Ovis aries: one gene and its partner. The protein of the gene in region 2 binds, or shares a complex with, the protein of the main gene of each other region. Links are inferred from orthologs where the notes say so. Each region holds a gene or a part of one and is shown on either strand. Other genes may lie near its edges.

The links.
Region 1: AAR2 (region 2) and CD2BP2 share a complex: the UniProt entries of both Homo sapiens proteins name them as parts of the U5 snRNP complex. The link is inferred for Ovis aries from reciprocal best matches to the Homo sapiens genes AAR2 and CD2BP2.

The regions. Positions count from the first base shown.
Region 1 is NC_056077.1:27,062,896-27,067,428, forward strand, and holds the start of CD2BP2 (CD2 antigen cytoplasmic tail-binding protein 2), read right to left. Parts: upstream 2,823-4,533; 5' UTR 2,240-2,822; coding exon of another isoform or gene 1,619-2,239; exon of another isoform or gene 1,595-1,618; intron 1,322-1,594; exon of another isoform or gene 1,237-1,321; intron 672-1,236; exon of another isoform or gene 603-671; intron 48-602; 5' UTR 23-47; coding exon 1-22. Other genes in the region: sesquipedalian-1-like, read left to right, coding at 1,619-2,239; TBC1D10B (TBC1 domain family member 10B), read right to left, coding at 3,243-3,878, 3,965-4,119, 4,410-4,533. UniProt on the Homo sapiens protein: Involved in pre-mRNA splicing as component of the U5 snRNP complex that is involved in spliceosome assembly.
Region 2 is NC_056066.1:65,347,993-65,352,255, forward strand, and holds the start of AAR2 (protein AAR2 homolog), read left to right. Parts: upstream 1-1,439; 5' UTR 1,440-1,661; intron 1,662-4,263. UniProt on the Homo sapiens protein: Component of the U5 snRNP complex that is required for spliceosome assembly and for pre-mRNA splicing.

The DNA of each region.
Region 1 (4,533 bases), on a different chromosome or scaffold from region 2:
AGGTCACTTTCCTCTTTGGCATGACTGGACAGAAGGGCTTTTCCAAACTGAGCAGAGGGAAAGGGTGCAGATTAAGGGAACTGGGTGAGGAGGCAACTCCCCGCGAGGGGGCCCCCTGCACAACAGATCTTTTACTTGGCGGGTACTAGATCCACTTTGGGAAGGGAGTACAGAATCAGGAGCCGAAAGGCGAGCTGGTAGTCCAGAACCCGCCCCTCCCCCCGCCCCTCCCGGGACTTGGCTTAGCATCTAAAAGAGCCGCTGGTGCGGAGACGCAAGAGCGGACGGGCGGAGGAGCTCCTACGGGCACCCCCACCCTTGACAAGAGGAGACGGGCTCCCCCACGTGACCACCCTTATTCCAGGCCCCAGCAGTGCTGGGCGCGATGTGCTTCGCGGGTAAACACCCGCTCCACCACCCCCAGCTTCCTCGGAACCCGAGGGGCCCCGGCAGACCCAGGACCTAGCGCCCTGGCAGCCCCGCTCCTCCCTGCGCCGAACTCCCAACTCCGCGGGGTGACTCCCAACTGTCTTGGGCTGTGTACAAATTAGAAAGGCGGCAGGGCCACGGGGACACCAGCAGTCCCGCCGGCACGCGCTCACCTAAGGATCCAGGAAAGGTGGGGGAAGAAAGGGAGAGAGGGTTTCACCAGGGCTACATCCGGGCCACCCGCCCGCCACCACCCGGAAGAGAACTGCGGAAGGCGGCGGGGAAAGCCGGAAGTGGCTTCACTCGGGTTAGATGAACAACTGAAGGAGCGGGCGGAAGTACGCGCCGCGCGGGGAGAGACGCCCCCTCCCAGAAGTGACGCGAGCCGTGTGGGGTGACTATGGTGAGAAGAGGGGACATTTGAACGCCTAGACCCTGATCGGACGAGGATGGCCGGAAGTGATCTCGGTTTCCTCCTACAACACTAGAGGCTCTGAGGAGAAAGGGGCGCCCAGGTTCACGATGGAGGAACAAAGTCCCAGCAGGGCCGGTGGGTTCCTGCCCTAGTTTTCTCTTTCCCGGGTTGTCTCCTTTTCCCCACGGCTGGTTCTGCGCCCTTCATCATCTCATTAGAAATCCTGCCTTCCTACTCTTGGCGTCCAGTTGTCCGCCCTTTGCTAGTCCGAGGTGTAGCCTTGCTGTTGTCCCAGAGGTTCTCCTGGGACTTTCCGAACCCAGCTCCTTTTAGGACCCAGGGGAAGTCTAAAATCAGCCGCCTCCTATCCCCTGGCCAAGTTCCTGGTTTCTGAGGTGGGAAGAGTCAAATAGGAGAGGTGGCAGTGGCACCTGTTCCCAGTACCGAGGCCTGAAGTCCCTTGTGCCCTCATCTCAGGTAGGCCTGGGAAAGGGCCGTAGTGGATATCCGCCAACCCCACCCCCAAACAGGACCCCAGCACTACAGTCCTGCCCAGGTTTTGTAATTTGGCCCAAGGGGCAGAGCTGAGGTTGGGAGGTGGGTGGAAGGTCCTTCTTGAAAACTCAAGTTTGAATCCCTCTAGACCAAGACCAAGACAGTGCCCAGAAAGAGCCTGCTGGAACCAGAGGAGGGCAGTGCTGGGGTACTCCGGATCACCAAATGCCCCACTCCTCCTTTCTCCACTCCTAGGGTTTCTTCCCACAGTGGGCTACCATGAAACTGCACCGAAAGTCCGTGCTCCGTTTCTTCCGTGGGTACAGAACACAGGCTCCAGACCGGGAGGGCATCCTGCTAAAGAAGGGGGCCCGAAATACCAGTTATCAGCGCCGCTGGTTCATCCTGCGAGGAAACCTCCTCTTCTACCTGGAACACCAGGCTGACCACACACCCCTGGGTCTCATCCTATTAGAGAACTGCCAGGTGGAGCCACGCCTTGGAGCCACAGAACCTTATGCCTTTACCATTCGGACTCCAGGGGGAGATGGTGGGCGGGCCTACAGGCTGGCAGCAGAAAACCGGGAGGAGCTGAGAGCCTGGCTGTGGGCGTTGGCCGGAGCCACCTGGACGCGGCTGGCTGAGCTGCTACGCCCCCTGGAGGCCCAGTACCGGGAGCTGTGCCAGGCAGCTGGCCAAGAGCCCGGCTCACCCCCAGAGGACTGTGGCTCCCCAGCCACCCCCAGGACCCTCTTCAGCTTCCAGGAGTTGCACGAGCACTTTGGAAAGGAGATCCGGATGCTGCAGGCTGTCCACAGACAGTTCCAGGAGGCCAGTGACAACGGAGGCAGCAGATCCCCAGCAGGTGGAGGTGAAGCAGGAACGCAACAACTGTGTTGATGAGTGACTAATAGACTAAAGACCCAAAGGTATCTGCCAAGTCCAGTCAACAGCTTCCAGAGACACCCAGATCCTTGCTAACTCATCACTCCCTCCCTCCTTGTCCTTACTTTAACCCCACTCATCAAATAACAAGGCAAAAGACAGGCCCAGGTACAACAGCAGGTTCTTTTCCGGTTCCTCAAAGCGGCCGAACAGGGTGGGGGCAGAGACAGAAGAACATGTAAACATTGGGTTCCACCCCCTGGGGCTCAGGGGAAGACCCTTACCCAGGAAGGGGCTGGAGGGTTGGAAGGGACAAAGTGAAAGGCAGGGGCCCTGGTCAGATAAAGCAGGGGAGGCCTGAGAATACAGAGAAAGGTGGGTGAAGAGGAAGGAGAGCAAGGAGGGTGGTGGTGGGAGGTGGGAGACATTTCCTGTTCCAGTGCGTGTCCCCTTAAATAAACTAGAGTGCAAGAACACTGAGGAGGGAGAACCAGAGAACAGAAGATGGAGTGAACACCCCCACCCGGGGCCCACCAGGTCCTCTGTACATAATTACAACACAGAGATGTCCAGAAGGAGAGCAAGAAGAGCCTGGGCCCCCAACCAGGAACTGGGGGAAGACAGGCAGGACTGAAGGGGGTAAAGGAACCCAGCTTCACTTCACGGGTAAGGGGAGTGACTGGAGTGTAAGAATCTGAAAACTGCTGACTCCCACTGCCACAGGTCACCCCTGCGGTGACCAAAGGCCAATCAGGAGAGTGGCACCTGGGAAGGGACCCCAGTTGGGCCGAGCTGGAGGTGAGGTGTCCACTGCTTCCCCAGGGAAATGCAGCTGCCCCCCGTTCTGACTGTCCTGGCCACGTGGGGATCAGCGGCTGGCACGGAGACGGGGAACAAGCCACTTTCCTCAAAAAGAGGGACAGCCTGCCAAGGGCGGGCTGGGAGCAGGACCCCAGGCTAGGTCTGCTCTTGGCTGAGGGAAAAGAGGGGGCCACGTAGTCCAGCCCCAGGGCAGAGGTCAGAAGTACGCATCCTGCCGGGCCTCTGATGCTGAGGACCTGTCCCCGCCGTCCTGGGGGGCAGGCGGTCCATCTGCCTTTCGATGGAGTGAGAGCTTCCTGCCCTGGGCCTTCTTCTCCTGCTTCTGCCGCTCCTTCTCCTGTTTCTGCTGCTCCTTCTCCTGCTTCTGCCGCTCCTTCTCCTGCTTCTCCCGTTCTTTTTCCTGTTTCTGCCGCTCCTTCTCGCGTTCCTTTTCCTGTTTCTGCCGCTCCTTCTCCTGCCTCCGGGCCTCCTTGCCGCTAGGGGCCAGAGGGGCGCTGTTGCCAGTAGGCGAAGGAAGGGATGGACGCAGTCCCTCGGCGGTGACCACGGGCCCTGGGGCAGGCCCCGCGCTGGCCCTGCGGACGGGAGGGGGTGGGGAGGGGACCCCTCCACCTGCCCGGGAGCCCCGGCTCTTGAGGCCAGGGAGGCTGAGGAGGCTGGAGGAGGGGCCCAGGGGGGGCAGCTGCCGCCGGCGCTCCTCGTGGATGGCCCGGGAACCGTGTAGTCTCCGTGAGGGCCGATACTGCAGCTCGCCCCGGGTTTCCAGCCACTTCTTGAGCTGGGCTGCGTTCTCTCGCTCAATCAGTGCTTCTGTCACTTGGAGGTTGGTCACCTAGATGGAGAAGACATGGGTACCAGGGTGAAGTGGGGTGGGGATCTACTGAAGCGGGTGTGAGGTACGCTAAGGCCAGGACCTACCTCGTGCACCAGGAAGTCCTCCTGCATGCACTGCTGAGGCAAGTTCCGCAGCTGCTCCATGGTCTCATACATGCCTTGGCAGGAGCGCAGCTTTTCCACCGAGCCCAGCGTGTGCCGCAGCAGCACCAGGGCCACCCGGAAGATGATCTTGACGCCTGCAGGCCCGAAGAGAAGAGGCCATGGGTGATCAGCCTGGGGGGTCTCAGCCTGGCCCGTGCAGGGGGTACTCACAGCCCCCATCCCTGTGTATTGTTGACCCGACAGATGAGGAAATGGAGGCCTTGAGAAGAAAATGAGCCACCATGGGTTTTAGGTTCCTGGGAGGCAAAGCAAGCTGTGGCTGGTGGCAGAGCCAGTAAGATCAAGTCTCAGTTTCTCCCGAGATGGATCTCAGCCACCATGGAAACCCCAGTCCCACTACTGGCCTACGTGGCTACAGAAGTACCTTCACAGAAGAACATATCCCAGACCCGGAGCACTGAAGCCCAGGGCAGGGTGCGGGCGAAGATGCACATGAACCACTCTGTCATGTAGAGCACGGGATCAATGCGCTGCCGTCGCAGGTGCCG
Region 2 (4,263 bases):
AACAAAGAATTATTTGGCTCCAAATCTCAATAGTATCAAGGTTGAGAAACCTGATTTGAACAGACATGCAACCCACCACGTGAGATTCCTGGGCTAACATCTACGATGCCTGTGCCCAGAGTTCAGTGCCCCAGAGTCTCAGAAGATGGTGAGTTCAGCTGGAACAGGGAGCTTGTCATGAAAACAGACCATGATGCTCAGCGCCCAAGACCAGGAATGGGGAGGGGAGGGAGGGAGCTGAGCTTCTTCGTGCAGGAAATGGAACTGACATGACAGGCTGAGATTGACACGCGTGACTGTGACTGATAGAGGCCATCTCTGGCTAATCCTGGGGCAGCTCGTTGTGATCCACCGTGACTGCAGGGCCCAGTCTAGTCTGCAACCCACTAAGAGATGAATTTTGACTGAGACAGATGGGCATGTCCAGCTGTCACTGAGGAATTGTGACAGGCAAGCTAAAGAGCAGCAGCACAGAGACAAGAAGAGCCAGTCACCAATGAGACCTTGGTTTGCATTCTAGCCTGGCCTCTCTCTGGCTGTGCAACTGCTCGGAGCCTCAGTTTTCTCTTCTGCATGTTGGGAATACCGAGTCTGCTTACTAGGGTTAGTGCAAGGATTAGATATCATATACCCAAGGGGCCTGCCCTCTGGATTTTGAATTTCCTTAGGCAGCCCTCAGAATCACATAAGCCAGTTCCTTGTAATAAAGCTCTTAAATACCTCCCGCTGGCTCTGCTTCTTTGATTGAACCCTGAGTGATACAACCACCCAGCACAGAGCTAGGCTCCAAAATAGAAGTCACTAATTAATAAAGAATCACTGTCATTAATTAAATGCATAATATTTAATAATTGAACTGGGTCTTTGTGTGGATTCCAGAAAAACAGCAGAGAACAAGACAGGTTCCCTGCCTCAAGGTGCATATACAGCCTACCTAAGATTTCATACTAGGCCTGCACTGCCAGAAGATATCGGGTGTTTATGGCAGGAAGGATCACTGTGGTGACTGCGGCTGTTAGACTGGGTCTTTCTGGCCTGGGTTTCTGAAGCTCTCCCCTACAGCTGAGTATGGTTGGAAGCAAGACCAGGTGATAAAGGGCCAACTGTGACACTCACTCTGATTGAGATCGGCTGACCAGGACTATGACTGAGCCTCTGACTGTGGCTACTGGACAGCTAGGACCTTGACCAGAACCTCAGAGACCACGACTGATTGAAACCGAAAAGCCGTGACTTGCGGATGTGTTTCTGTACCTGGATATAAAATGCATCGTTTGATGAAAGTTATTATCCACGGGTTCAAGAACTAAATCCAGCAACTCAAAGTAGCCAAAGGCAATGTTCCATGGGGCGGAACCTGCTGGCACGGGCCGTTTCTTCCGCGACCCAGGGACCCGCCCGGCCCCTTTCCCCTGTTGTTCCCCTCCGGCGCTATAGAGGGAGAACTTCCGGTGCGCTTCTGCGATCCCTGGACCTGGGCGAGACACCAGTCGGTGAGTGCAGCCTCCTGTCCTCTTTCAACTGTTCTGCTTTCGTTGTCTGTGTGGTCCGGCCACCCTTCTTTCCGGCTGGGGATCGCGGAGGGCCTGAACTCGGGCACCGAGCTGGGACTGTGGCGTCCCGGTCTTGAGCCGGTGGTGGGACCGACCTGCCTCTTTCAGGTGGGTTACTCTTATTGCTCCCCTTGTAACCGTCAGATACGCCGTCGCCAGAACTTTGTGGGGGCACCTGGGAAACTTCTTTTTTCCTAACTTTAGAACTTATGGGCTCGGAGGCCTTGGCTCCGCCTGACGTGGTTCTGGTGTTCTCTATCTTCGGTAAGGTCTTTTCCACGAACCGAGCCTTTGTTTCTCATCTACAACATGGATATCGTGCTTTTATTAAAAACAGATGTTTAGCCAGCGTCTAATATGTGCTAGAGGTACGAAAGACCCGCATCTCCTAGAGGTGACAGCCCTCTATTAATATTTGCGAACTTGCAGTTGTGATCAGTGAAATGGAAAGATAAAAAGCACTTTGAGAGCACATCACAGGAGATCTGACTTAGCCCCAGGTCGAGGAAGCGTTGCTGAGAAGGTAAATATTAAGCAGAGATCAGAAAAATGGTTTGAGACAGAGAGGAGGGAAGAGTTTTCTATCAGGGGAGCCTCTGTTTGAGGGTCTGAAAGAGTCAGTGTGGCTGCAGCAGAGCTTGGGGAGGAAGCATGATATGAAACAAGCTGGAGGAGTTTCCATGGACCAGGCCATACAGCCCTTGTAGGTCGCAGTGGGAATTTTGGTTTGCCAAGAGCCACGTGAGAAGTCTCTCAGAGGATGTTAAGTATGGGTGGTGACATGCTTAGACTGGCGGTTTGAGAAGGTCACTCCTGCTTTTGGATGGAGAAGGGATTGCAGGGACAATCTGGCTGAGGGACATGGTAGCTTAGATTAAGGATGTGGTGGAGAGAAGTGGGTAGATGTGATTCTCTGTATCTCAAGGCATCTTCTTTGTGCCAGGTCATTTGCCAGCTGTGGAAGATATAGTGAAGAGAATTACAATCTGCTGGAAGTAGAAAGAAAGAAGTGGCATTATCAAAGAGGAGCACACAGATGCCACTGGGAAAATGGCTAATTGATGAGCAGTTATTCTAAATGCAATAGCTGTTCATTTAATAAATATATTAAGTGCCTTTTGAACTCAAGATTGGGGATAGTAAGATGATATAAATTATTTAGAGCAGTGGCTTTCAGACTTTTTGCACTGTGACCTACAGTAACGCATACATTTTACATGGTGACCAAGAGTCCATACAGACACACAAAGCTTCAGAAAACAGTACTTCGCTTTACTTCTTAGGATGTACTCTGATTTTTTAAAATTTTGCCCTTTTATTTAAAAAAAAACAACAAACAATGTTGGTTGAGATCCTCTAAGTTGATCTTTTAACCCATTATCAGATTGTGACTTGCAGTTTGAAAAAAAATGTTGATTTAGAGTCATAATCATTTGTGTGGGTTTTGGGTAAAGACAATAAAATATGTCCTTTCCATATTGGGAAAAGTGTTGGTCTTCCTTTCCTCATGGTATTGTTTTGTTTGTTTAAATAAAATGAGTAAAAGGAATTAAACAGGCAGCTGGTTCTTCTGTTTGTGAAGTTTTGTGGTCTTGTTGATATGTCTGGCTGGATTGGAAGTGCCTGGAAGGCAGTAACTGTCTTCTCCATGATTATTTCTGTTCGTGTCTGGCAAAAATCCTGCAGGCTCTCCAAGGTTATTTGTTGAATTGAATAGGTAGGTGTCTTGGGACTAGAGAGTTAGACGTGTTCTGTTAAAATTAGTTCATGTTGGACCCATCCTTATAAATACAGAGACTATGTCTGTTTACAGAAGTCTTATCAGTGTGTCCTCTTGGGTAGTTCAGAGGTAGATAAAAATAAATGTTCTAAGGTCTTGGTCTTCTAAATACTGATCCGAGGCCAGCCATGCCACCTGGATCCATTTGGGTGAGCAGTCCAGAGGTGCTACTGACTGTGGACCCTTTGGAAAGTTGTTTCACTCCCTGGACTTTAGACTTCTTTATATATATATATATATTTTATATGTATATTTGTATATATGCAGGAGAAGAGGGTTGTGGTTGAAAAGCTCTCCACTGCCCAAACCTTTTGTGAATTTTATTTATTTTATTTTATTTTACTTTATTTTACGTTACAATACTCTTGTGAATTTTAGATGCTAAGCACCCCGTTTCCACTTTCTGTCCATTTCTGGGCCTCCGCTGAGGCTTATGGGAAACTGGGTGGATGCTTCTCGAATCTTCTAAGTTTTAGACAGAATTATAGTTTAAGACAGTTTAGGCACACTAATCCTTTAGAGTGGACCAACCAGGCATTCTCCACCTTCATCTTCTGTTATGAGAAGGAGATCTGAAGAGTGCACAGATCTGAAGGAGCTTCGGAGTGCACAGTGGGAAGAACGCTGGCCTGGAGGGCAGGGTACCCGGGTTCTAACTGGGTCCTTGTGTGGTCTTGAACATGTCTCTTTTCTTTAACTGATGTCTTTCCAGCTGTGCAGTGAGTGTTCTTGCTCATTAAACTCAGAAACAAAAACTGTCTTCTCTTTGAGTGTCGTTTTCTTTACCTGTGATGAAAATTAAGGTAGAAAATTATGTCACTGGAAAAGATCCTGATGCTGGGAAAGATTGAAGTCAGAGGAGAAGGGGACGACAGAGGATGAGATGGTTGGATGGCATCACTGACTCAATGGACATGAGTTTGAGCAAGC